Macaca fascicularis: one gene and its partners. The main gene of each other region encodes a partner of the protein of the gene in region 4 in a complex. Links are inferred from orthologs where the notes say so. Each region holds a gene or a part of one and is shown on either strand. Other genes may lie near its edges.

Region 1 (4,133 bases), on a different chromosome or scaffold from region 4:
TTTTTTTTTTTTGTGGCAGCGCCTGAGGCCAGGCCTTGAATTCACAGCTCTGTGGGGCTGAGCGGTGGAATCAGCTGGGATGACAGCCCAGGTCAGCAGCGTAATGCCAACGTTGGGGCCCTTTTCCCAAGGAGGAATTGTAGACTTTGCCTTGGAACAGGGCTAAGGCCATTCAGACACACGATGGTCTTCTCTTACTAATCTCAGCCTTTCTCAGCATTCCTATCAGCAAGGTGGGCTGGGGAAGGTGGCGGCTGGAAGGGAGACAGAAAAGGCCCAGGCCCAAGAGAAGTGGTGGCAGCCTGGGAACTGGGCTCCTTTCTGGCTTGGTATCTTGGTGGCCAGCTTCCTCGGGCCACACCTTTGTTATGGTTCTGTGGGTAGCCAGTCTTAAAAGGAAAAACAAAGCAGAGACTCAAGGTGATTTTATAAATTTTATTAGAAACTTTATATTTCAATACTAATTTCCTTACAAATAGTCTTAACTACAACACTTCCTGCCACAGAAGACTCAGATCGGTAATTGTACCTTTAAAGCTGTAACAATGGTCTTAAGTCTGTATGATGAAAGCCTGACTGATGAAGAGGCTTGGCTTCTGCTCTTGGGGTTGTCATCACATCTAAGAGGAAAACCGCTTTGGAGGATAAGGGAGTCCCCTTCACATTGCTGTTCATTGTAAAAGTGGTTATGGTTTTCATACGTTTTTGAATTAAGACTTGCAGCCACTTGCGTGGATAAACGCGAAGGGAATCGCAGCTTGCAAAGCTCGGCCGGGGAACATGAGCTTCAAATAGAGGGCAAATGCCGTTTTTAAAAATAATATTTCCTATTGTAATAGACCTGGGCCGTATTATGTCACGGGTGTGGTGGCTTTTGGCTGGGAACACCCTGAGCCTCCCTTGGGCCTGGCACAACTCCTTTTGCGAGCCGGCAGCCCAGCGCCTTCCTTGGGAGGCGCCGAGGCGTGGAGGCGCCCGGGGCGCAACTGGCCCTCCTGTGGCCCGGCAGGTCCGCGCCAGCCTCCGTGCCTCAGAGCTCCGGGCCGGGGGAGGGAAGCCGAGGCCACCGGCCGCCGCCCCGCAGCGGGAGGGGGCTGGCGGAGACAGCGCGGTCGGGGCAGCTTCAGGTTTCCTCCTGGAGCCGGTGTCGGGCGAGGCAGGCGGGCGGGCCTCGCCATGTGATGCGGCCGCCGCGAGCCGGGCCGGGAGGTGGGCAGGCGGGGATCCAGTGGCAGGGGGGAGGCGCGGGGGGGGCGGGGGCGTCACCCGCTGAGGGCGCAGCCAGCCCGGCCCGGGCGCGCGGCCGCAGCTCCACCCCCTAAAGCCTGGCTTCAGTCCTGCCGCCGCCAGGCGTTGGCATCGCCGGGTAGAGCCTTCCGGACTCCGGGCGGCGGCTGGCGGGGGGCGCGTTCCGAGGCGCCCTCGGGCAGGGCACGGGGGCAGCGCCTCGCCTGGGCTCTGGAGGCTGTGGGGCCATCGCTGCAGGTAAATGCTCTTTGGGGCTCCATGGTCTGCGTTTCCCTGCAGCTCTGGGTGGAAAAGTTTGCCCACCTGAGTTCGCATCCGCAGGGCCACTTTCTCCAGGGATGCGAGAGTCAGCAGAGGTGACCCGGGAGCTCTGCAGGCGTTGCGGCGCGAGGGCTGGGCGCCGCCTCTCGCTCTCCTGGGAGCGGCAACAAGTGGAGAGAGCGGTGCAGCCTCGTGCGGCGGCGGCGGCAGCTGCGGAGCGCGGGGTCGCTCGGGCGCACTGAGAGCTGGGGGCTGGGCGGATGAAAGCCCAGCCAGTGTCCTTCGGGAGCCAGGGAAATAAACAGCGCTCCTGCGGTGGAGAAGGGAGAGCGTCGAGAGTTGGTGTCCGTCCTTCCCATCCATGCTTCTGCTCCGGGGCGGAGGGTGCTTGGCAGGGCCAGGACCGCAGAATGCAGACGGAGCGCAAGCTCAGGACACACGCACTACCACTTACTCGTGTGGAAGCATTTGCTGTGTTTCAAAAGGCATTTATAGTTACCTTGGTTGGGAAAGGCGGTCAGAATTATGTGGGACTCCTTACGCTTATTTTATGCATTTGTTTCCCCTTAAATACCCGGGGTGTATGTGGTGGTGCCACAGCCTTCCCGTGCTTAGGGTTTCCGAATGACAGGCGGGTGTTTGGCCAAGAAGGCACCATTTGGGTCGAGGGCTGTATGGAAACTGGGTGCTCAGGCGGCCCTGGAAACCCAGCTCTGGTTTCCCAGAGACCAGTTAGATTTCTAAGAAAGAATCCATCTCTAGAGGCCCACAGCGTCCCCGCATTGGTTGACTGGGTGGGCCGAGAAACAGTGGTAACATCTGTGTTTGAGCAGCTTCTCCCGCCTAGACCCCGGCCTGCGTCTCCACAAATCTCCCCACACCAGGAGTTGTAGAGGTTCACCACGGACCACACCAATTGGGCAAAATACCAAAGAAAGTAAGGTCTTTAATATTCGTTTATAAAGAACTGATCATTTGGGATTCCATGGGGACCCTGGCTTTCTGAAGCGTTGTTATCTCGTGTTCCTAAGCCCTGAAGCTGTCAGGGGTAAGTGAAATCCTGTTTTCGCTGCAAAAACAAATCAAGGACCTGCCCTTGTTAGGTTCTGTGGCATCTACTTTGTACATGACAATCCAAGCAGAGTGGTAACTTCTGGGAAACCTGGGAAGGTTTCTCCAGATCTGTCCTGGGTTTTTAGTTACACATTCTTAAAGCACATGGGTATTTGCCTAATCTTGATTAATAGTCCAAAGTAACCCCTTTGGAATATTTGGAGAAAAGAGATGAATCTGCAAAACCCTTTGGAATTTTTAATACAACATAGTATTTCAATGTAATGTCTGATGTGGACTTTGTATGTGATTATTGTGCTGATTAACTTTGATCAAATAGGAATTTGGCTAGCATCAGATATTATAGCTAATGGTTAGGGAAACTGAGGCACAGAGCTAGCTATAGTGTGACTCAGATGAATGTCTTGGGTAAGGGGAGAATGGTGAACAGAGAATCAGTGTTTGTTCTGCTTTTGACTGTTTCTTTTTTTTTTCCTTATCAAAACCACACAATCTGGCCAGCTAAGAACAGGTTGTATAACAGGCGTGTCATTAGACTTTCCTCTGAAGTACCCAATTGTTTTTTAAGCAGTTTATAAACGCTTAAACATACAGAAGAAAATAGTAGTTAATAACTAAGTTTCTATGAGATGTCTCAGGAGACTCACTTGGGTGGGTTTCATGCTTTTTTTTTTTTTAATCATGTTTGGAATCTTTTCTTATTGTGTTATAAGAAACTGCACTTGTGGCTAAGACTTAAATTGGGCAGGAATTTCAGGTGAGCTCTGATACATGACCTCCTTTAGTATGCCCTGTGAGAAAAGACTATGTGTTCTAAGTAGGTATTGAAACAAATTGCAGCACATACTATTACTTTTATATTAAACATTCTGTACACCACTATATTGGTACCCAAGCTCCAACAAGTCCTGCCAGTTTATGACCAAGGGCTGAATTCCAAGAAAAAAAGATTCATGATATAAATGTTGGAAAAGCCTCAAAAAAAATTCATGATATAAATGTTGGAAAAGTCACCTAAATTACCTAGGCTGACTATAATTTTTATTATGCTTTTATTCACTAATCAGATATGACAGATCTGGTTTGGGTGGGTTTTGTGTAATTGCATTTGTATTTATGTTGCTTTTAGTGAAGCAGAGTAGCTCTGGGATTCCCCCCTGCCCCTGGCCCCCACCCAGAACCTTAAATATTTGTTATGAAGAGGTGGGTCAACCTGGGCAACTCCTACTGAGGATGTAAAAACAGTGTTACATTTGAAGTGCACCAAATTCAGGGAATTCTGCCATGCTAAAGTTGTGCTGTAAATATGCCACCCTGTCCAGCTTGAGTCCACATCTCTTACTTAGGCAAAGCGGGGCTTTGAGATATTTTTCTTGCTTAAGAAGTGTAGGTCAGGTCCTGTATCACAGAACATTTTGCTCTGATTGGATGACACTCTATCATTTTGTCCAGTCTCTGTGACCCTTAGTTCTTTTGTTATTATCATGGTATTGGAAGTTCTCAGAAGCCCAAAACAGTGTCACTCTACTGTTTTGCCATTTTGACAATCT
Region 2 (3,964 bases), on a different chromosome or scaffold from region 4:
CCCTCTCCCCTGAAGGACTGCGGTCGCTGCGCCTCGGAGAGCGACCAGATTCCGCACCCCACCCAGGAGGAGCCAGGGCAAGATTAGGGTTTCCTCCAGCCTCCTCCCACAGGGCAGACGACCGAAGCCAGCCCCGGCCTCACGCGCATGCCAGGTCGGGAGGACGCCCTCAGTGGGAGCGCCCTGCTCAGGTTCTCCCCGCGGCCGAGTGGTGGTGGGAACGGGCGGCGGCCCCGGGATCACAGGACCTCCGCCGGGTTAGCTTGGCTGTGCCGCCGCCAACCCAGCAGGACGCCTATTTTCAAGCCTGGGGAACGTAGTTCCTCCCGCTTTCACAGAGAGCAGGATGGAGCCCGACGGCACCCCGGTTAAAGGGCCTTTCCAGCGCCCTCCGGGGAACGGAAGGCCGCGCTCCTCCGGGAGGGAGAACGACACACTCTTCAAGGAAATCCTGGGGCGGGCGCTCTCCTGGCTGCCGGGACCTCTGTTTCTAAGCTGGCTACTGCTACAGCAGCCTTAACTGTCCCAATGACACGCCTGCTATAGAGCACCCTCCCGGCGGCCGCTCCTCGGCCAGCTGCCCAGCGGGCGTCCTCAGGTGTCCCCAAGAGGCGCAGGCCTAGTCGCCTACACGTCCTTTCCAGCTTCGTGTCGAGGCGTCAGCTTTGGCTTCCCACCACCCCTCCCGGCTCTGCGGCGGCTCAGCCTCTTCTCCGGTTAATTCTGGCCTGTGCGGCCGGGTCGTCCCGTAAAGAAGGCGGGCCCGGGTTCCGGGTAGGGGGTTGGTGGGTCAGGGTGGGAAAGCAAGGCAGCGGTAAGTCCTCTGCTAGCAGATCGGGCTCAACAGCCCCATTCCCTGCTTTCTCCGGGCCCACCCTCCGCCCCTCAGACGGCCGCCATGAAGATCCTCTGCCGCGGCTGCAGCCGGTCTGCGAACACACGCCCACCCGCACGCTTAGCCTCGCTCGCCACAGAGGGAGGGGTGGAAAAGGCACTGAGCATGCTCGGTGGGGAGGGCGGGGCGCTCGCGGGCCGCGAGTCGGAGCCGGCGTTCTTCAGGCCGGCTACCGCGCCTCCGCCGCCCGCCCGCTCGGAGCCGCGCCCGCCGCAGGCTGCGCCCGCCAGCCCCGCCCCGCCCCGCCCCGCCCCTCCCCGCCCCCCGCCGCTCGTCCCCGCCGCGGCCGCGCCGCCTGCAGCAGCACCAGCTGCTCCTCCCCGGCGGCCGCCCCCCGCGGGTCCCTCCCTGGCTGCGGGAGAGACGGAGGTAGAGGGAGGACACAGAGCCGCGCCGCCCGCACCGGAGACCTTCTCCTCGCCCCGCCGGTTCCTCACCCTCGGGGAGCAACATGGGTAAGTCATCCTTCCTCCCCCGTCATCGCCTGACATTTTTTTCTTTCTCGGCGTGCTGCAGGGTGGAAAGCATTTCTCGCGCAAAGTTGCCGGATTTCTCCAGTCCCCCGGTGTGAGACTGGCTGTTCCTCCGGGGAGAGTCAGCGCACGCGGAACGCACGCCGGGTGCCGGGGCTGGGAGGGTCCCGAGCGCGGGCTGGGGTGGGGTCGGCCGCGGGCCGGACCGCCGCCCGGCTCCCCGGCACCTCGCCGTCTCGCCTCCCCTCCTCCATTCTTCCTGCCGGTGCCCGGGCACCACGGAGCCTGCCTCGCGGGCTCGCATCCGCGTCTCCATCCCCGTTTCTCCCGAGGCCGCCCGCTTCCTTTTCCCCCGCGTCTGCTGAGCTCGAGGCTCGGGTCCGACCACGACCACTTAATGTAACTTCCTTCTCTGTCAGTGCGACCTTTCCTGGTCGTGGAGACTCCTCATCCCGGGCGGGGAAGTGGAAGCAAGTAGTTTGTGAGGGAGATCTTACAACCTGCACGGAAATTATTTTCCAAGGGGGAGAGCGGACAGCCCCATAGGTTGAAAGGATGACTTGTCAGAGGCCACGAGGAACGTGAGGAAGGATAGAGCAGCTCGCTGTAGAATTAATGCTGGGTGACTACAGTGTGCAATATTCCTGTACTCAGCCTATTTTTTGGATTCCTTCGTCTGTCTTCTGTAGCAGGAAACTGCGCCCTGTAACGTTGTTACCGAACTTACATGGTAGTTATTCTTTCCCAGCTTCCCCCTGTCTAATCTACATAATCTGATTTTACTTCTTTTGTATTTATAGTTAATCTGAAGATACTGGTTTGGATGAGATATTTAAGAGCAAATATGTTTTATAAAACGATATATAAATTTAACCTAATTTTTTTACATCATCTATTGCTTAACTGTTACATTCAGTAATCACAGAAACGTCTGATGAATGCTGTCGTGTAATTAAGAGCTCAAAGTTTCTTTTAATAGTAGCGACTTGTACTAAGTTCCCCAGTTTGCTGCCACTCCTGTCTGTCATAATTTCCTCTTTTTAAAATTTGCTCCCTTGGCATCTGTCAACTGGGACTTTTCCCACCCCTTCTGTGCGAGTTATTTAAAGATTGAGATGAATGTGATCCTTTCATCTGTTAATACAGTGCTCAACACGTTCAAAGTTAGGTTGCGCAACTCAGAATCTTCAAGAAGTATCTAAACCTGGGAATGGTGTCCATAGAGTTTTCTGGAACAGCAAATACTTCAGGCTTTGATCGCGACCTTTGGCCATATATCTGGAAGAGGCCAGGGTTGATGGAGGAGGTGGTATGAATCAAAAAAGGTCTACGGCTCTGAATTTTATTTTCAGTTAAGTGTTTTTTTTTTTTTTTTTTTTTTAATGTGAGTACTCTTGATATGCTGAACAAATTTCTGTAAAAATTGGGTGGGCCGTTTATGCGTGTCTACCCTTTCTCTTAAAGTAGAATTTTAAATAGGTATTATATCAGATTATTGGACAAGCTGTGTATTTCCGTCGAACATACACACGTTTATGTATGTTTCCTTTGAACGTACATACACAGATAAATGTGTGTACGTTCAAAGAAAATACTCAGTATGTCCAATAACCCTATCTGATATTGGACTGTAAGTTCAAGTTTGGCTTGAAAAATACATTTTCCTATGTTTCCAGGTGAGCCTCAAACCATTTAACATTTTAACTTACATGTTAAATCCGTACTTTTTCAGTGGAAAAAATCCAATTTCGTTACAACACTAGTGAATAAAAATACCTGAAAGAGATGAAATTATCTACTTAAATATCATCTTCAAAATCTTGAATGCTATTGCTTGATTTTTAAAAAGGGCCAAATAGAAACCTATCTCTCATTTTGAAGCCATCTCTGATACTCTTTGGTTAATCTCTCTCTCTTCATAAGCACTGTTTGTACCTTGTTAGAAGCTTTTTAGCACTTATATAATCTACCATATTATGGAGTTGTTTATGTGTGTGTGCTGTGCATTTAATCATGAGTCCCAGAAGATGAAAAATGTCCTATTATTTTTTGTGTTCCCCACACTGCTTTTCAAATAGGAATTCAGTAAATCTTTGGCAAATTGTTGAACTTAAAACCACCTATTATTTTCAGCTTTTGCATCTGAAGATTTAGTCTCTGAACAAACATTTGGATTGGCACATAGTACCTAGTTGGGGGATAAGCAGAAACAGAAAGGTATAATTGTACCATGCTTCCCAGTACACTGTAGGTAGGTTTTGAGTCAACCTCAGGCAATGGTAAGGCAGTTTCATGTATGATCAGTAGGTACATACGATAATTTAAAATTGAAACCTTGGGTAACAGTTTTATATCTGAGCCAAGGAAGTTAGTATTACAATTCATGTACACATAAGAAGGTAGAAGGTATACTGGTTAATGATGGGGGGAGGGAGAAGTGCTTTTTAATTTGTCTCAAGAAATAAATAAGGTTGATTTTTAAAGATGTGCTCGGCTGGGCGCGCACTTTGGGAGGCCGAGGCGGGTGGATCACCTGAGGTCAGGAGTTGGAGACCAGCCTGACTAACATGGTGAAACCCTGTCTCTACTAAAAATA
Region 3 (3,500 bases), on a different chromosome or scaffold from region 4:
GATTTCTTTCCAACTTTCTGAAGCTGGCAGGACCTAATCTGTCGGATGGCTGCATCAGTGAAGGAGCAATCCACAAAGCCAATTCCATTACCCCAGTCAACACCTGGCGAGTGAGTGTTCCTTTGCATTGTATGTTTTTTTTTATGTTTTGGGTTGGAAAAGACTAGGATAATTATTACATTTTGTTGCAATGATGTTTAGGTACCTCAGGAAGCTAAAAGATTGTTGTTGTTTTTTTTCCTTTACAGAGGAGATAATGATGAAGAAGATCCTTCAAAATTAAAAGAGGAACAGCATGGCATTTCAGTCACTGGTTTGCAGAGTCCAGGTACACTTTTCTGACAAGTTCAAGGGAGAATGTGCTCTATTATCTGTTAAAATGCTGGCCAGGTGCGGTGGCTCAAACCTGTAATCCCAGCACTTTGGGAGGTCAAGATAGGCCAATCACCTGAGGTCAGGAGTTAGAGGCCAACCTGACCAACATGACGAAACCCTGTCTCTAATACAAAAATTAGCCGGGCATGGTGGTGGGTGCCTGTAATCCCAGCTACTTGAGAGGCTGAGGCAGGGAGAATTGCTTGAACCCAGGAAGCAAAGGTTGCAGTGAGCCAAGATCGTGCCATTGCACTACAGCCTGGGCAACTAAGACCAAAATGCCAAAAAAGAAAAAAAAAAAAAAAAGAAAGAAATAAATGAAATAAAATAAAATAAAATGCAAAGAAACTTTAATACTGTTTGATTTATGCAGGTTCCAGCATCAGAGATTCAGTTTAACAAACTTTGCTTTTGAGCCTTCTGCGTGTCAGTATAACACTGCGCTATGTGCTGTGTATTTTGCTTAACAGATGATCTCTGTAGTTTATGGAGTTGTTTTTCTGATTCTTGCCTGAATGCTTCATGTTAAAAGTTAAAAGCTTTGTTTAGCTGTAGTCTACCTTTTCTATTCCATTGGACAGACAGAGATTTGGGATTAGAAGCTACCTTAATATCATCAAAACCTCAGTCTCATTCACTGAGTACTTCTGGGAAATCAGAGGTACGTGATCTCTTTGTGGCTGAGAGACAGTTTGCAAAGGAACAACATACAGATGGGACACTAAAGGAAGTTGGAGAAGATTATCAAATCACAATCCCAGATTCACACCTGCCTGTCTCAGAAGAACGATGGGCATTGGATGCACTAAGAAATTGTAAGTTTTATTCATAACTTACTACAGATACTTATTAAGTATGGCACTGATGTGCCATCCTTAAAGTATGTGGATTTATCAAACTCCACTTATTCTTCTGGTTTTATTGTGGAGATTATAGTATTCTCTACAATGGCCCATGCCACAGACACACACACACGCCACTCTGTTAGCTCCCCACCCCCCAGCCTGGTTCAGAATCACTGTTACAATGGGAGGATAGCGTATCTCTCAGTTGTACTGAGGTGGGAAAAAGACTGAGAACAATTTCTCTGGCTGGGGAGAACCATTTGAAATTTCTAAACCAGCATATGACTAAAGGTATGAAACAAGATTAATCTGGCTGAGAGCTGTGGAAGGATTTGAATGGAAACAGGTATGGAATGATGTACTTACTAAATAAACTATTGTAATAGTCTGGCCTGAGACTAAAAGAGTTTGGACTGGAATGTTATCAAAAGGAATAAGAAGGAAGTGAGAAGTCATCAAGTGCTTAAAACAATTGACTTGTTTGGATGTGAGGTCAAAGGAAAGGGAATATTTAGAGATAATTTCATTAATCTTGTCAGAAATAAGAGTCAGAAAAGGACTACCACTGCTTCCCCCACCTCCTTCCATTGTACTTTCTTTATTTTTTTTGATTTGGTAGAATTATAGGCTCAGTTTTAAAGCATGTCAAGATTAAGATAATGAGTGACAAAACATTAAAGAGTGAGTAACTAGCAGGAAGTTAGAGTTTTAGGAGTCAAACTTTAGAGAGAGGTTAGGAAGAGATAGAGATGTGAGCATCAGAGCCATGAGACTTCCTAGCATCTCTCAGGAAGTGATTGTAGAGCAGAAGGACAGGATCAGAGACCTGAGGGGAACTTGTTGCCTGAAGAAACGTGACAGACATTAAGCTAGTGATGAGAGCAGAGAATTGGTTATTTAAAACTACATTATTTTTTATACATTCTCCTGAATTAACAGTCTTAATGATTTCTGATGGTTTGACTAATATTGTCCCAGTAACTCTATCATTGTCTGGGTGACCTCATAGCATACACTTGGCCCATTCAAAATTAAATTGGTTCTTATTTTTAGTATATGTATGTATCTCATGAAATTAGAGGAAATAATATGCATATAGTGTCTGGATCTGGAAAAAGCAGAACTTTTAGCTTTTTCTGTCTAGCTTAACACAGCCTTTCAACATTCTTAAGAAGTACCTTTAGGGTATTATTCTAGTTATATAGAAGAAAAAATAGAGGCATGATATTGGTTATTCAGGAGTTCTAAATAGGAGTACCTCCCTATTCAGAATGCTTAGATCTTTTCAAGTATAGTTTAACGGTAAATCTTCTCTAAAAGATGGTGCTTTATTTCATCTTCAAAATAAAATGGAAAATGATTGTATGAAATAAAATGATTGTATGAAATTAATTAACATTTTAATATGTCATTAAAAGATACTTTTAAAGATAATTGATAATTCAGCTAATTTAATTCTTGCAGCCTGAGGTTATAGTTGTGAATATGCTTTTTTTTCCCGCCTCCTTCCTAAATCGTTTAGTGGGTTTGTTGAAGCAGTTGCTGGTGCAGCAGCTCGGTTTGACTGAGAAGAGCGCTCAGGAAGACTGGCAACATTTCCCAAGATATAGGACAGCCTCTCAGGGGCCGCAGGCAGACAGTGTCATCCAGAACTCTGAAAATATTAAGGCCTATCATTCTGGTGAAGGACATATGCCCTTTAGAACTGGAACTGGTGACATTGCAACTTGTTACAGTCCTCGGACTTCAACTGAATCTTCCGCTCCACGGGATTCAGTGGGACTGGCACCCCAGGATAGCCAGGCAAGTAACATTTTAGTAATGGACCACATGATTATGACCCCAGAGATGCCTACCATGGAGCCAGAAGGGGGTCTTGATGACAGTGGAGAGCACTTTTTTGATGCCCGTGAAGCACATAGTGATGAGAATCCATCAGAAGGTGATGGAGCAGTTAACAAGGAAGAGAAGGATGTTAATTTACGCATCTCAGGCAAGTATCTTTCACACTTACACTTTGATTTTGATTTCGATCATTGCTAACTGTGCTGTATGTTGAAATGGGTGTTGTGTTGGTTTCGAGGTGTGTGTGTGTTTATGTGTGTGTGTTCACACAAGTGCAGTATTTATTCCTTCATTTGATAAATACTGAATCTACTCTGTACCAGACCTCATCATAGGTGCAGGGAGATATAGCAGTGAATAAAACACAGAAAAATCCCCTCTTCTCATGAAGCTAGAGGAAAGAAGCATGGTAAATAAGTAAACAAATAAATAGAC
Region 4 (3,500 bases):
GTGTGGGCCTTGGGTCCCTTTCAGCCTAGGTTTCCCATGGCTACTTTATTTAAAATGTATCCACCTAGGCAGGGCACGGTGGCTCACACCTATAATCCCTGCACTTTGGGAGGCCCAGACGGGTAGATCACCTGAGGGTCAGGAGTTCGAGAACAGCCTGGCCAACATGGCAAAACCCTGTCTTTACTGAAAGTTAAAAAAAATTAGCCAGGCATGGTGGCACACACCTGTAGTCCCAGGTGCTTGGAGGCTGAGGCAGGAGAATGGTTTGAACCTTGTAGGTGGAGATTGCAGTGAACCGAGATTATGGCACTGCATTCCAGACTAAGCAACAGAGCAAGACTCCATCTCAAAAATAATATTATTACTAAATAATATTAAATGTTATTTTAAAATGTAACTGCCTTGTAAACTAGATGAGTAAACTAGATGAATTCCAAATACAAAGATGAATAAACTAAGGCCAGGCGCGATGGCTGATGCCTATAATCCTAGCACTTTGGGAGGCTGAGGCTGGCAGATCACTTGAGGTCAGGAGTTCTAGACCAGCCTAGGCAACATGGTAAACCCCTGTCTCTACTAAAATACAATAACTAGCTGGGTGTGGTAGTGTGCGCCTGTAATCCCAGCTGCTCCAGGGGCTGAGGCGGGAGAATCACTTGAGCCTGGGAAGCGGAAGTTGCAGTGAGCTAAGATAGGGCCACCGCACTCCAGACTATCTCCCAAAAAAAAAAAAAAAAAAAAAAAAAAAGTATACCAGATGAGTTCCAAATGTAAAGCCATCTCTTTTGGGGAAAGACTTTTTTTCTTTTTTTTGGTTGCCCTGGCTTAGCCTTTTTCTGGAGTGTCTTAACTAACTGATAGAAGCTTGAATGTGATCATTTCATTAGCCTAAACACAGCCACATAATTCAGAAGTCAGTATTCTTTTTTTTTTTTTCTTCTTTTTTTGAGAGGGAGTCTTGCTTTGTCGCCCAGGCTGGAGGGCAGTGGCACGATCTTGGCTCACTGCAACCTCCACCTCCCTGGTTCAAGGAATTCCCCTGCCTCAGCCTCCCAGTAGCTGGGATTACAGGAACGCACCGCCATGCGCGGTTAGTTTTTTTGTTTTGTTTTGTTTTGTTTGAGACGGAGTTTCGCTCTTGTTGCCCAGGCTGGAGTGCAGTGGCACGATCTCGGCTCACCACAACCTCTGCCTCCCAGGTTCAAGCGATTCTCCAGCCTCAGCCTCCTGAGTAGCTGGGATTGTAGGCATGCAAGACACCAAGTCCGGTTAATTCTGTATTTTTAGAAGAGATGGGGTTTCTCCATGTTGGTCATGCTGGTCTCCAACTCCCGACCTCAAGTGGTCCGCCTGCCCTGGCCTCCCAAAGTGCTGGGATTACAGGCGTGAGGCACCGCGCCCAGCAATTTTTTTGTATTTTTAATAGAGATGGGGTTTCACCATGTTGGCCAGACTGGTCTCGAACTCCTGACCTCAGGCAATCTGCCCGCCTGAGAGTAAACTCAGTATTTGTATGTTTTTGTAGAGATGGGGTTCTTGATTTTTTTGAGACAGAGTCTCACTCTGTTGCCCAGGCTGTAGTGAGTATAGTGGCAAGATCTCGACTCACCACAACCTCCACCTCCTGGGTTCAAATGATTCTCCTGCCTCAGCCTCCCGAGTAACTGAGACTACAGGTGCGTGCCACCGCGCCTGGCTAATTTTTGTAGTTTTAGTAGAGATGAGGTTTTGCCATGTTGGCCAGGCTGATCTCGAACTCCTGACCTCTGGTGATCCACCCACCTCAGCCTCCCAAAGTGCTGGGCTTACAGACGTGAGCCACTGTGCTGGCCGGAGATGGGGTTTAGCCATGTTGCACAGGCTGTTCTTGAGCTCCTAGGCCCAAGCTGTCTACTTGCCTTAGCCTCTCAAAAGTGCTGGGATTACAAGTGCGAGTCACCACACCCAGCCTCGTTTGGTTATTTTCAAAAGTCATTCTTTTTTTTTTTTGAGATGGAGTCTTGCTCTGCCACCCAGTAGTGCAGTGGCGCGATCTCGGCTCACTGCAAACTCTGCCTCCCGGGTTCATGGCATTCTCCTGCCTCAGCCTCCCGAGTAGCTGGGACTACAGGCACCCACCACCACGCCCAGCTAATTTTTTGTGTTTTTAGTAGACATGGGGTTTCACCGTGTTAGCCAGGATGGTCTTGATCTCCTGACCTCGTGATCTGCCTGCCTCGGCGTCCCAAAGTGCTGGGATTGCAGGCGTGAGCCACTGCGCCTGGCCAAAAGTCACTCTTGAGCCATTTGAAATACCAGTAAACCTATAGGGTAGAAGTTATGCTGAGAGTCCATGAACAAGTTAGAAAAGGAGCATATAGACCCTGGGTCAGCTGCTGCCCTAGAATGGGCACCCCTTCTGTAAGCTATGTCAGAATCATCTACCAGCAGTAACGGATGTCCTGTAAAGTGCCTGCCTTTGTGGGGCAGGAAGTACCCCCGTGAAGCTACCTTGTGTTGTGGATCTTTTGCTCCTCCAGAGCCCTTCCTTGGGCCCCACCTACAGAGATGCTCAGCACCATTCTTGGCTATACTGAGAAAAAGCTGGTGGTTCTCTGTTTAAAGGAAAGGGATTATATTTGCCCTTTTTTATGGTTTTGAAACTAGTGGGTTTCATTAAATGTCTAGCATTCTTCTGAAGCCACAAAGAAAGTGTCTCTGAATTTCACTGAGGTTCTTGGAAAGTCTTCAAGATAGAATTGTATGTATCCCCAAATTCTCTACATTTTTTTTTTCAGAAAACATCCCAGAAAAGTGGACCCCGGAAGTCAAGCATTTCTGTCCCAACGTGCCCATCATCCTGGTTGGGAATAAGAAGGATCTTCGGAATGATGAGCACACAAGGCGGGAGCTAGCCAAGATGAAGCAGGCATGATCTGGGGCAGGACTGTCTTGTATTATTCTTGAACTATGGCCCCAAGGTTGGAGGTTTGGGGAGCCCAGCAGAAACCTTCACAGGCCAGGTTGTTTTAGAGGCTCAGAAGCCCCTCTCTGGCCCTCTGACCCTCATTTATTGAGATCTTCACAGAAGATCCCTAAAATAGTTCACTAGTTCTGTGAGATGGAATGTTTTTTATGAGGTAGTGCTATGCCCGTAAGGACTGCTGGCCTGGGAATGAACCATTTCATCAGTAGCAAGTAGTCAGTGGCTTTAGATGTAGGAACTTTCTTTTTTTTGATATGGAGTCTCATTCTGTCACCCAGGCTGGAGTGCATTGGTGCAATCTCAGCTCACTGCAACCTCCGCGTCCGGGGTTCAAGCGATTCTTCTGCCTCAGACTCCCGAGTAGCTGGGACTTACAGGCGCCCTCCACCATGCCTGGCTAGTTTTGTTTGTTTGTTTGTTTGTTTGTTTGAAGTAGAGATGGGGTTTCACCATGTTGGCCAGGCTGGTCTTGAACTCCTGACCTCAAGTGATCTGCCTGTTTTTGCCTTCCAAAGTGCAGGGATTACATGTG
Region 5 (3,500 bases), on a different chromosome or scaffold from region 4:
TATAAAGATAAGAAATTTTTATCGTTAATTTGATTTTATGTGATAAAATAGATATCAAAAATGTATTTCCTGCTAACTAAATTTTCCATTCATATTCATTGGGAAAAGCACCTTTGCAAAGACTTTTAAGTTGAAATTAAATATTGTATTTTCTGGGAAGTCAAATTTGTTATGCATGAAACAAGGAAGAAGAGTTAACCTCTGTTCCCAAAAAGCAGAACAGAACTTTCTGACAACTGCTTTGTTCCAGTGAAATGTCGGCATTTCTGACTCTGTGAGGTAATTCTATCTTCAGTCCAACAGGAGACTCTTTGTGCTGTCTTTACTAAATGGAAAGGAATGCCTGTGCTGGCCCCTGCACACGCGTGTGTCAGTCAGTCAGCACAGATGTACGTGGGGGAGGCATCCACACATGTCCTCAGAAGCACGGCGTGTGCCATCTTACTACATATCGCGAAGGTTTCTTTTGCAGTTCATTTATATTCAAAGTTTTACTTTGGAGTTGATTATTTGATATGAGGGGTTGATCTACAACTCTGCCTCTTAAAGCCTTCAAATTTCTAAATTCTCTTTGATTACCAAGTTTCCTTGGTAGTTCACATTCCTTTCTGATACATTTAGGAGCTTTAATGAGTCTAATTCTTTCTTTGGATATTCAAATTTTTTACATTTCTTTCCAAATAATGTTAACTTTTCCTGTCAGTTTATTCTTAAATTATTAATTTAAAAAAAAAATTTTTTTTACCCAAACCAAAAATGGTCAATATAGTCTTCAGTTATTTAAAGGCATTATTTTTACTCATTTTCTATACCCCTTCCTTTTTATATTACTTTAGTCATGTCAAAGAATTTTTAGAAAAAGTTGCTTCTTCTGTTATTTTTAAATGATGTCTTACTTTTCAGTGATAATTTTAATATAATTTAAAATTATATATCCTCCTGGATTCTCATCAAAATTATTTTGTCAAGTATGCCACAATTGTCAGAGGCACAAAATACAAATAGTTGTGCTCCATAGACATTATAAAGAATAGACCTGCTAGTTTTATGATCTGGCATTCTTCATTTCAGTAACCGTGTGAGTTACCTACTGGTATGCCTCCATTTTTCTAGCGATAAAATCAGAATAATGCAATTTTTATTAAGTTTCAAAATCTTTGAATAAGTGATGTGTTTGCTATATTATTATTTAAAAGCAATAACATGTAGAATCATAACTATTTCTTCTCAATTTGTGTATACCTTTCCTTTAAGTTAATAAATTACTGAGAGAGGATCTAATTATTTATGAATCCCAGTGTTTATGTAGTAAGTGGATCTAATTATTTACGAATCTCAGTGTTTATGTAGTAAATGGAAATATTCCTAAAATATGTTAGTAATGGCTCAAACTTAATATGTGCCGCACTGTTTCAAGCCCTATTATTCATTTAATCTTCACAACAACTTCATAAGAGAAGTGCTGGTATTAGCCCCATTTTACAGATGAGAAAACTGATGCCGAGTATGCCCTAGCAAGTGGTAGAGCCGGGATTTGTGCCCAGTCAGATTTCAGAGCCTGGGTGCTCTTTTAACTCCTCCCTGCCTTGGCTTCACTCTTTTTCAGCCCATTCCAGTGTCAGACATGTTTATTGAAAGGTCATATTTTCTAACGAAAGTGGTTAAGTGGTTAAGAATGAAATGGTATAATGTCTGAGATTTGCTTTAAAATATTTAAGTAGGGACAAAAATGAAACAAATTGTTATACCAGACACTGTGGAGGGCGCTTGATAGACACATGGGATCCATTATGCCATTCTCCACTTTCATGTATGTTCGAAAATTTTCATAACAATAAGACTTTTTAAAAAAAAAAAAGTTATTCTCCACATTAAAAAGTTCTATTGGATTTTAGGATGTAATTTCCTTGTTTGAATTTTAATTTTTCCCCAATGGAAATATTTGGCCTTTCTTATGCACTTATTATTTTTTGAAAAGTTACTGCTACTCAATAGCGTTCTTATTGTTTTGACAATGAAGAACAACTCTTATTTTCATGTTTCTGTATTTTATAATGTATAAAAATTGTTTTGTGAGAGGGCTTTACTTTGTCCAAGTTTCTATGAAATCATTGCCCCTAAACATACATTTAGTGTCATCTGGTTTGTTTTTATAGGAGCCAAGCAATAAAAGAGTTCGACCTCTGGCTCGTGTCACCTCCCTGGCAAGTTTAATCTCTCCTGTAAGAAATGGAGCTGTCAGACGTTTCGGTCAAACAATACAGGTAAAAAGAGAGAAGGAAGAGTCATGTAGTCAGGGGACTTTATAGAAGCCTGGAATTTGTAGTTTTCCTTGAGCTGTACAAACAGGTTTGCATTATTATACTTAAACATAGTTTTCTTTTTGGAATATACTACTAAGGAATATTGTTGCAGAACAATGTGTAACCTCGTTATATTAATTTGCATCTTATATCAATGCATAGTCTTGGCTAGTTTTTATTCCCAAAAACGTAATTTTAGCTGATAAATATTTAAGATTGGTAGGTGGAAACTTGGATAAATTACTGTTTTCTGCATTGAGAAATTCTCAGAACTTTGTCTTTCTTCACTTTAAAAAAAAAGAAAATGGGAATAATTCTGTTCTTCCTAATCTTATTTTCTCTTTTGTTCACCTTTTCTTTTTTAAGTCATTTACCCTTCGTGGTGACCACAGATCCCCAGCCTCTGCCCAGAAGTTTTCTAGCAGGTCAACAGTCCCAACCCCCGCCAAGAGAAGGAGCAGTGCATTGTGGTCAGAGATGCTAGACATCACCACGAAGGAGTCGCTCACCACCAGAGAAATCAAACGGCAGGAGGTATGCTGGCACTCAGCACCAAGACTGTATTTATTGGCCTGCACTTTAAAAAGACCTGTTTTTTAAATACGTGTTTTCCCAAAAGAACAGCAAATTGATACCGATGGCAAAATTAACTTGGATTTTTGTGTTTGAGCAACAATTCCTAATACATGGTGAACAAAACCTAATGATGGATGATGGTCAAATTAAACAACTCTAATAGGGTAAAATTACCAAACATATGGCAACCTTTTATTTGAGATTCCATTCTGAATTACAATTTTCAGACTGAGTTTGGTTTTTAAGTGCCGTTCAAAACATCAAATAATGTGATTATCAGTTGTATATAATTTTCCTTTCTCGAAGGAATGACCTCTGATGTTTGCTGGATGTTTTTAGGCAATATATGAAATGTCCCGAGGTGAACAGGATTTAATTGAGGATCTCAAACTTGCAAGAAAGGTCAGTAAATAACTTTTTATCAGATGCCCTAGTTTTTAAAAATTAAATTTCACAAAATCTAAAGGATAGTTTTCTTAACCTTTAGAAGTAGAAAAATAGAAAATATCTACTGGTGAATACATTTTTTTAGATGGGGTCTAGACATAGCCTCAAATACAAGTATTAGTAAGAGAGTTTATTTGGGGATTAATACATACTAATTTGTTTTATGTATAGCAA
Region 6 (3,500 bases), on a different chromosome or scaffold from region 4:
ACCATGTTAGCCAGGATGGTCTCGATCTCCTGACTTCGTGATCCACCCGCCTCGGCCTCCCAAAGTACTGGGATTACAGGCTTGAGCCACCGCGCCCGGCCCAGATCCTTTTTTGAGTCAGGCAATGATAGAGCATTTGCCATGTGTCCAATCACAGGGAGGCTGGGCCTCATGTCCATTCTCACTTCAGACTTAAGCCATGTACTTTCTCCAGCAGATCCACGTTTAAGAGGCTATTTCTGCATAAAACCAAGGATAAAAAATACAGCCTGGAGGGCGTGGAGGAGTTGGAGAATGCTGTGTCCGGGCATGTGGTGCTGGAAACTGCCACCATGAAGAAGGGCCTGGAAGGTTGGTCACCTGCAGCCTCAGGGACAGCAGAGCCACCAGTGTCCCTGGGGACATTCATTGTCCCCAAATGGGGCCTTGAGTTGGCTGTGGGCCAAACCCTAGGCACAAAGCCAGGGGTTTCTGGCCCTGGATAAAGGCATGCCGTAGGAGGTCCTCTGCATCCTTCCCCCAAACCCACCCTCACCAGCTGCTTCCTGTCCCATCCTCAGCCCCCTCCGGACACCAGCACCGCCACGCCGCAGGTGAGAAGCGCACCAAGGAGCCAGGAGGCAAAGGGAAGAAGAACCGAAACGTCAAGATTGGGAAGATCACGGTGTCAGAGAAGTGGCGGGAATCGGTATTCCGCCAGATCACCAATGCCAATGAGCTCAAGTACCTGGACGAGTTCCTGCTCAACAAGGTGGGACCACTAGGGGAGAGCCAGGGGCATGAGGCCCGGTCCGCAGGGGAACCATCACAGCCAGGCAGTGCTTTCTGAAACACACACCACAGGGCTTAGCAGGTCAAGAATACAAAGCGCAGGCTCAGGCCGGGGACAGCGGTTCATGTTTGTCATCCCAGCACCCTGGGAGGCTGAGGCAGAAGAATCACTTGGGCCCAGCAGTTCAAAACCAGCCTGGGCAACAGAAAGACCCCATCTCTACAAAAGGTTTAGATTTTAGCTGGTGTGGTGGTACACACCTGTAGTCCCAGCTTCTGGGGGCTGAGGCAGGAAGATCGCTTGAGCCCAAGAGGTTGAGGCACCACGAGCCATGATCGCAGCACTGCACTCCAGCCTGGGCGACAGAGCAGACCCTGGCTCAAAAATAATAATGATGCATATTTGGTCTCAAAGCAAAGATTGATGAAGCACCGTGTGCAACGGAAGTGGAGGCGAGCAAGCTGTGGCTGCCTTCAGGAGGGTTATACCCCATGGGGGTGGGGGTTGGGCCATCCTGCAGCAGATAGAGCTACGTTTGGGAGCTGCACAGCGGCCACAGGGGGTCGATGGGGACACAGAAGGATCAGGAAACCCTGCTAGGAGTAGAGGCATCTCGAAATGACCAGACCATTCCAGACATCCCGGTCCTAAGGTATGGCTGGGTGTTGAACCCTTGTGTGGGGCAGCAGGAAGGCCCTGAACTGACCTGTAGCTCTCATCTAGGGGGGATTCTGCCCTCCAGGGAACACTGGCAATGTCTGGGGACATTGGGGTTATCACAACCTGGAGGGAGGGCGCTGCTGGCCTCTGGTGGGTAGAGGCCAGGGATGCTGCTTAACCTGCTGTGGCGCACAGGGCAGGCCCCACTGTGGAGAGTAGTCCTGCCGTGAATATCAGTGGCTTTATAACTCTGACATTTATAACTCTGAGAGGAGAGATCAGGCTTGGCCAGAGGGACTGGATTTTATCCCAAGAGCCTAGGGGATGACTTAAGAGAGGATACAAGTGACCCGTTGGGCACCTCCTCGGGTACGCAGGTCCCCAGGCCTGAGGCACGCAGGGTCAGCTCCTCTCCCCTTCCAGATAAATGACCTCCGTTCCCAGAAGACGCCCATCGAGAGCTTGTTTATCGAAGCCACCGAGAAGTTCAGGAGCAACATCAAAACGATGTACTCTGTCCCGGTATGTGGCGGCCCGGCCTTCAGCCTTTCCCATACCCTGCTCAGACCCGTCATTCCCATCCGCCCCTTGCCCGGGCCTGCGGGGTGACGCCTAGCATTCCCACAGAACGGGAAGATCCACGTGGGCTACAAGGATCTGATGGAGAACTACCAGATCGTCGTCAGCAACCTGGCCACTGAGCGCGGCGAGAAGGACACCAACCTGGTCCTCAACCTCTTCCAGTCACTGCTAGATGAGTTCACCCGTGGCTACACCAAGAATGACTTCGAGCCAGTGAAGGTGGGCAGCCCAGCACGCCACGCCCACCCATGCCTTGCCATGATCACTTACACCAAGCCCACCTGACATGCCACGCCCACCCATGCCCTGCCCATACCACGCCCACCATGCCATGCCATGATCGCTTACACCATGCTTACCTGTGCCTTGCCATGATCACTTATGCCACACCCACCTGACATGCCACGCCCACCCATGCCACGCCTATGACATGCAACATGCTATGCCTACCCATCGCTTGCCATGATTACATGCCACACCCATTTGTGCTACGCCTACCTCCTGGTGGGGAGTCCTGCACCCTCCCCAACAGGGCCTCACTTCTGGGCGTGGGGTGTCTGAATGGGGGGTGTTAGGGACAATGATGCCACTCCAGGTGAGGGAGGGTTCAGGGTACCCAGATTCCTGGGTTATGGGGTGCCAGGGGTGGGTTGGGTCACTTCCCAGGGGGCCCCCGTCGACCTCCTCCTTGTGTTCCTCACAGCAGAGCAAAGCTCAGAAGAAGAAGCGGAAGCAGGAGCGCGCTGTGAGTAGGCTGCACGTGGATGACAGTCCCAGCAGGCGAACGTTGGCAGGAGCGTGCACGTGTGTGTCAGTGTCAGTGTGTGCATGGGCCCGTCTGCACACGTATGTGTGCGTGGATACGTGTGAGTGTGTTTTCTCCCCAGCACATACGGAGCCGTAGTCTTGAATAAGCAGACCCACCCCTGAGATCCCGTGGGCCATCATCCACCAGTGGCTGGGGAGGGCTGCCTTCCCCTTCCCCCGCCCAGCGCCCTTCTCTGGCCTCACAGGTCCAGGAGCACAACGGGCACGTGTTCGCCAGCTACCAGGTTAGCATCCCGCAGTCGTGCGAGCAGTGCCTCTCCTATATCTGGCTCATGGACAAGGCCCTGCTCTGCAGCGGTGAGTGGCTCCCCACCCAGGCCCCAAACCCCTCCACGTCCCCCACCACCCCTCACTGCTCAAGAGGGCTTCAGGGCCAGGCAGAATGGCTCACACCTGTAATCCCAGCACTTTGGGAGGCCGAGGCAGGGGGATAGCGAGGTCAGGAGTTCGAGACCAGCCTGGCCAAGATGGTGAAACCTCATCTCTACTAAAAATACAAAAATTATCTGGGCACGGTGGTGGGCACCTGTAATCCCAGATACTCAGGAGGCTGAGGCAGGAGAATCACTTGAACCTGGGAGGCAAAGGTTGCAGTGAGCCGGGATCACGCCACTGCACTCTAACCTGGCCAGCAGAGCAAGACTCAGTCTCAAAAACC
Region 7 (2,319 bases), on a different chromosome or scaffold from region 4:
GGTTGAGCATGTCAGGCGAGGAAGGGAGGAGCAGAGAATTGCCCTTTTTCTTGTTCTTTTTCCAAGGCCACTATCCCTTTCGTTTCAGGGCAAACTGACTGCTCAGGGGAAGCTCTTGGGCCAGGACACTTTCTGGGTCATCGAGCCTGAGGCTGGGGGGCTGCTGTCTTCTCGAGGTCGAGAGAGGCGCGTGTTCCTCTTTGAGCAAATCATCATCTTCAGTGAAGCCTTGGGAGGAGGAGTGAGAGGTGGAACACAGCCTGGATATGTATACAAGAGCAGCATTAAGGTGAGAAGGGGGCCACGAGAGAGGGCTTGGACAGAGAAGGCATGAGGCCTCTGAGAGGATGTCTCAGAGGAGCCAGAGAGGGTCTGAGGAATCTGGGGGCTGTCTCCTATCTGCCAATTCAGGTGAGCTGCCTGGGACTGGAGGGGAACCTCCAAGGTGACCCTTGCCGCTTTGCACTGACCTCCAGAGGGCCAGAGGGTGGGATCCAGCGCTATGTCCTGCAGGCTGCAGACCCTGCTATCAGTCAGGCCTGGATCAAGCATGTGGCTCAGATCTTGGAAAGCCAACGGGACTTCCTCAACGGTGAAGCTTTCATCCTTTCTCCCTGATGGGCTCCGTCAGCCCCTTGACCTCCTGAATCCCTCCCTCACTGCCCAGTCTCCAGTACCTACCCTCTGACCATGGCCCATCCCCTTTTCTACTGCTAGCTCAAAATTTGATAGAATCCCCTAAAACCCCAAGCAATTTACATTGGCTGACAGGGAGGGAGGGCAAAGTAGGAGAATGATACAGGCCCTAGGGAAGAGACCTGTCTCTGCAGTAACCCTCCTGTTCCTCTCTTTGCTCCAGCATTGCAGTCACCCATTGAGTACCAGAGACGGGAGAGCCAGACCAACAGCCTGGGGCGGCCAGGAGGGCCTGGAGTGGGGAGCCCTGGGAGAATTCGGCTTGGAGATCAGGCCCAGGGCAGCACTCACACACCCATCAATGGCTCTCTCCCCTCCCTGCTGCTGTCACCCAAAGAGGAGGTGGCCAGAGCCCCCTTGCCCCTGGATAAACAGGTATGATGAAGAGAGCTCCCTCATTGTAGGCATAAAAAGGGGAGAGCCTCTCTTGTTTTGGGACCCCAAGCTCGCTCCCCATATCATTCCTTTTTTCTGGTCCTTCCTACTTCCCATCCCTTACCCTTCTCCCCTCTATTTTAACTCTGGAGAAGCTGATAGTCTCAGACAGTCTAAGATATCTGGCAAGAGGAGGTGGCTTGGCTAGGGACTTAAACTGAAAAGAGAGAAGTGAGGGTAGATTTCTGGCCTTTTTAATCCTCTGACTTGAATCTTTTCTTCAGGCCCTCAGTGACATCCCTCAGGCTCCCCATGACTCTCCTCCAGTCTCTCCAACTCCAAACACCCCTCCCTGCCAAGCCAGACTTGCCAAGCTGGATGAAGATGAGCTGTAACTGGTGAAAACCATGGGGGTGGTGCTGACTCAGCTGCCTATTCCCCAAGAAGCTTCAGGGCAGTCCTTCTGGCACTGCTCCAGAATTCTTCCTTCTTGGTGTGTCTGGAGGAAGGGTGGGCAAGGCTGGGAGGGATATCAACTTGGAGGAGAGCACCTAGACCCAAGGACTTTTTTCTGCCCAAGGAACACAGTTTCCTTCAGCTCCCACCCCTATGCATGCATCATGGTTCCCCCAAAAGGAGGACATGTGGGTGGGTGGGAGGGCTGGGGCAAGGGCCAGATAGAAATTATTGGTTTCGTTTTTTAATTTTGTTTTTCCTGTTTTCTGAGAATAAAGGTTTTGTTATATCACTGAGGCTGCTGTCTTGGCAGAGGGAAGGGGAGGCCGTAGTCGGGGTAGGTGGGGTGAAGTGATATGGAAGAGACCAGTTGGCCCCAGCCATTGGAGGAGGGGGTCTGGTGAAAGGAGAAGGGGACAGGGTGTAAGATAAAAGATGTTGCTATCTTTATCCCTCAACTGCAGTTGCAGCAGTTGAGGGACAAAGACTGAGGCATGGAACCACTGGAAAGCCCTAGATTCTTCTTCTTCTTCTTTTTTTTTTTTTTTTGTAGAGTTAGGGTCTCATTATGTTGCCCAGGCTGGTCTTGAACTCCTGGGCTCAAGTGGTCCACCTGTCTTGCCCTCCCAAAGTGCTGGGATTACAGCCATGAGCCATTGCACCTGGCCAGCCCTAGATTCTTGATGTATCATCTTTACCCAGCCCTTCTTTTTCCCTACCCACCCTCTTGTCTAGACCCCACCAGAAAGCCCAATGCAGTGTGACTTCTCACCGTTCCCCCAACACCCAGAT

The links.
Region 1: the proteins of RHOA (region 4) and ARHGEF28 are in contact, whole or in part, in a crystal structure (PDB 6BC0), measured with the Homo sapiens proteins. The link is inferred for Macaca fascicularis from reciprocal best matches to the Homo sapiens genes RHOA and ARHGEF28. Residues at the interface, in NP_001300870.1 of Homo sapiens: Arg5, Val38, Phe39, Glu40, Asn41, Tyr42, Val43, Glu54, Ala56, Trp58, Arg68, Leu69, Leu72; in NP_001171164.1 of Homo sapiens: Lys1140, Ile1142, Arg1144, Glu1145, Val1146, Ala1147, Asn1148, Glu1149, Phe1154, Ile1156, Ala1158, Ser1159, Ser1160, Pro1163, Glu1164, Met1165.
Region 2: the proteins of RHOA (region 4) and RAP1GDS1 are in contact, whole or in part, in a crystal structure (PDB 5ZHX), measured with the Homo sapiens proteins. The link is inferred for Macaca fascicularis from reciprocal best matches to the Homo sapiens genes RHOA and RAP1GDS1. Residues at the interface, in NP_001300870.1 of Homo sapiens: Ala3, Ile4, Arg5, Lys6, Asp13, Lys18, Lys51, Asp65, Tyr66, Asp67, Arg68, Leu69, Arg70, Pro71, Leu72, Ser73, Tyr74, Lys98, Trp99, Pro101, Glu102, His105, Phe106, Leu179, Cys190, Leu191; in NP_001093897.1 of Homo sapiens: Arg111, Tyr118, His121, Ser171, Glu200, Met201, Val204, Asn208, Glu211, Leu212, Glu213, Ala249, Glu253, Lys290, Thr291, Asp294, Leu295, Val297, Leu298, Leu301, Asp303, Leu334, Leu338, Ala341, Asn342, Ala344, Arg345, Asn346, Asp347, Cys350.
Region 3: the proteins of RHOA (region 4) and ARHGEF12 are in contact, whole or in part, in a crystal structure (PDB 1X86), measured with the Homo sapiens proteins. The link is inferred for Macaca fascicularis from reciprocal best matches to the Homo sapiens genes RHOA and ARHGEF12. Residues at the interface, in NP_001300870.1 of Homo sapiens: Arg5, Lys7, Thr19, Lys27, Val33, Tyr34, Pro36, Thr37, Val38, Phe39, Glu40, Asn41, Val43, Asp45, Glu54, Trp58, Asp59, Ala61, Gly62, Gln63, Tyr66, Asp67, Arg68, Leu69, Leu72, Ser73, Asp76, Glu97; in NP_056128.1 of Homo sapiens: Pro766, Asn768, Gln770, Glu790, Val791, Glu794, Thr798, Ala801, Cys888, Gln891, Pro892, Lys899, Arg922, Arg923, Leu924, Gln925, Lys927, Asp928, Pro931, Thr932, Met934, Gln935, Thr938, Lys939, Leu942, Leu943, Asn946, Arg968, Leu971, Asn972.
Region 5: the proteins of RHOA (region 4) and NET1 are in contact, whole or in part, in a crystal structure (PDB 4XH9), measured with the Homo sapiens proteins. The link is inferred for Macaca fascicularis from reciprocal best matches to the Homo sapiens genes RHOA and NET1. Residues at the interface, in NP_001300870.1 of Homo sapiens: Arg5, Lys7, Tyr34, Pro36, Thr37, Val38, Phe39, Glu40, Asn41, Tyr42, Val43, Asp45, Glu54, Trp58, Ala61, Gly62, Gln63, Tyr66, Asp67, Arg68, Leu69, Arg70, Leu72, Ser73, Pro75, Asp76, Pro96, Thr100, Pro101, Glu102; in NP_001040625.1 of Homo sapiens: Glu177, Ala178, Glu181, Gln270, Leu271, Lys274, Lys281, Gln291, Leu294, Glu295, Arg300, Lys301, Leu302, Asp303, Trp305, Ser306, Asp309, Arg312, Ser313, Arg314, Val316, Lys317, Leu320, Leu321, Glu324, Gln347, Leu350, Ser351, Ile353, Asn354.
Region 6: the proteins of RHOA (region 4) and MYO9B are in contact, whole or in part, in a crystal structure (PDB 5HPY), measured with the Homo sapiens proteins. The link is inferred for Macaca fascicularis from reciprocal best matches to the Homo sapiens genes RHOA and MYO9B. Residues at the interface, in NP_001300870.1 of Homo sapiens: Asp13, Gly14, Ala15, Glu32, Tyr34, Val35, Pro36, Val38, Phe39, Gln63, Glu64, Asp65, Tyr66, Arg68, Leu69, Leu72, Asp90, Glu93, Asn94, Glu97; in NP_004136.2 of Homo sapiens: Glu1731, Gly1732, Arg1735, Lys1736, Ser1737, Gly1738, Ala1739, Ala1740, Arg1744, Lys1772, Gln1773, Arg1776, Arg1840, Met1841, Ala1845, Ile1848, Ile1849, Pro1852, Cys1853, Arg1856, Pro1863, Leu1864, Ser1866, Met1867, Val1870, Thr1874.
Region 7: the proteins of RHOA (region 4) and ARHGEF25 are in contact, whole or in part, in a crystal structure (PDB 2RGN), measured with the Homo sapiens proteins. The link is inferred for Macaca fascicularis from reciprocal best matches to the Homo sapiens genes RHOA and ARHGEF25. Residues at the interface, in NP_001300870.1 of Homo sapiens: Arg5, Tyr34, Pro36, Thr37, Val38, Glu40, Asn41, Val43, Asp45, Glu54, Trp58, Asp59, Ala61, Gly62, Gln63, Asp65, Tyr66, Asp67, Arg68, Leu69, Leu72, Pro75, Asp76; in NP_891992.3 of Homo sapiens: Tyr163, Val164, Glu167, Thr171, Met174, Tyr175, Asp178, Cys253, Lys256, Pro257, Glu260, Ser264, Arg275, Arg281, Leu282, Asn285, Asp286, Ile289, Lys290, Val292, Gln293, Arg294, Met296, Lys297, Gln299, Leu300, Leu301, Cys327, Pro330, Lys331.

Annotation. Positions count from the first base shown.
Region 1 is NC_088380.1:77,614,683-77,618,815, forward strand, and holds the start of ARHGEF28 (rho guanine nucleotide exchange factor 28), read left to right. Parts: upstream 1-1,333; 5' UTR 1,334-1,485; intron 1,486-4,133. UniProt on the Homo sapiens protein: Functions as a RHOA-specific guanine nucleotide exchange factor regulating signaling pathways downstream of integrins and growth factor receptors. Functions in axonal branching, synapse formation and dendritic morphogenesis.
Region 2 is NC_088379.1:103,859,576-103,863,539, forward strand, and holds the start of RAP1GDS1 (rap1 GTPase-GDP dissociation stimulator 1), read left to right. Parts: upstream 1-1,164; 5' UTR 1,165-1,346; coding exon 1,347-1,350; intron 1,351-3,964. UniProt on the Homo sapiens protein: Acts as a GEF (guanine nucleotide exchange factor) for the Rho family of small GTP-binding proteins (G proteins) that stimulates the dissociation of GDP to enable subsequent binding of GTP.
Region 3 is NC_088388.1:119,346,223-119,349,722, forward strand, and holds part of ARHGEF12 (rho guanine nucleotide exchange factor 12), read left to right. Parts: intron 1-23; coding exon 24-110; intron 111-248; coding exon 249-328; intron 329-956; coding exon 957-1,190; intron 1,191-2,742; coding exon 2,743-3,213; intron 3,214-3,500. UniProt on the Homo sapiens protein: May play a role in the regulation of RhoA GTPase by guanine nucleotide-binding alpha-12 (GNA12) and alpha-13 (GNA13). Acts as guanine nucleotide exchange factor (GEF) for RhoA GTPase and may act as GTPase-activating protein (GAP) for GNA12 and GNA13.
Region 4 is NC_088376.1:112,362,189-112,365,688, reverse strand, and holds part of RHOA (transforming protein RhoA), read left to right. Parts: intron 1-2,780; coding exon 2,781-2,911; intron 2,912-3,500. UniProt on the Homo sapiens protein: Small GTPase which cycles between an active GTP-bound and an inactive GDP-bound state.
Region 5 is NC_088383.1:6,384,015-6,387,514, forward strand, and holds part of NET1 (neuroepithelial cell-transforming gene 1 protein), read left to right. Parts: intron 1-2,156; coding exon 2,157-2,264; intron 2,265-2,669; coding exon 2,670-2,837; intron 2,838-3,218; coding exon 3,219-3,281; intron 3,282-3,500. UniProt on the Homo sapiens protein: Acts as a guanine nucleotide exchange factor (GEF) for RhoA GTPase. May be involved in activation of the SAPK/JNK pathway Stimulates genotoxic stress-induced RHOB activity in breast cancer cells leading to their cell death.
Region 6 is NC_088393.1:17,518,526-17,522,025, forward strand, and holds part of MYO9B (unconventional myosin-IXb), read left to right. Parts: intron 1-214; coding exon 215-351; intron 352-560; coding exon 561-751; intron 752-1,855; coding exon 1,856-1,954; intron 1,955-2,059; coding exon 2,060-2,233; intron 2,234-2,717; coding exon 2,718-2,759; exon of another isoform or gene 2,760-2,880; intron 2,881-3,027; coding exon 3,028-3,139; intron 3,140-3,500. UniProt on the Homo sapiens protein: Myosins are actin-based motor molecules with ATPase activity. Unconventional myosins serve in intracellular movements. Binds actin with high affinity both in the absence and presence of ATP and its mechanochemical activity is inhibited by calcium ions.
Region 7 is NC_088385.1:64,427,346-64,429,664, forward strand, and holds the end of ARHGEF25 (rho guanine nucleotide exchange factor 25), read left to right. Parts: exon of another isoform or gene 1-88; coding exon 89-289; intron 290-411; coding exon 412-592; intron 593-859; coding exon 860-1,071; intron 1,072-1,355; coding exon 1,356-1,466; coding exon of another isoform or gene 1,467-1,473; 3' UTR 1,474-1,819; downstream 1,820-2,319. UniProt on the Homo sapiens protein: May play a role in actin cytoskeleton reorganization in different tissues since its activation induces formation of actin stress fibers. It works as a guanine nucleotide exchange factor for Rho family of small GTPases.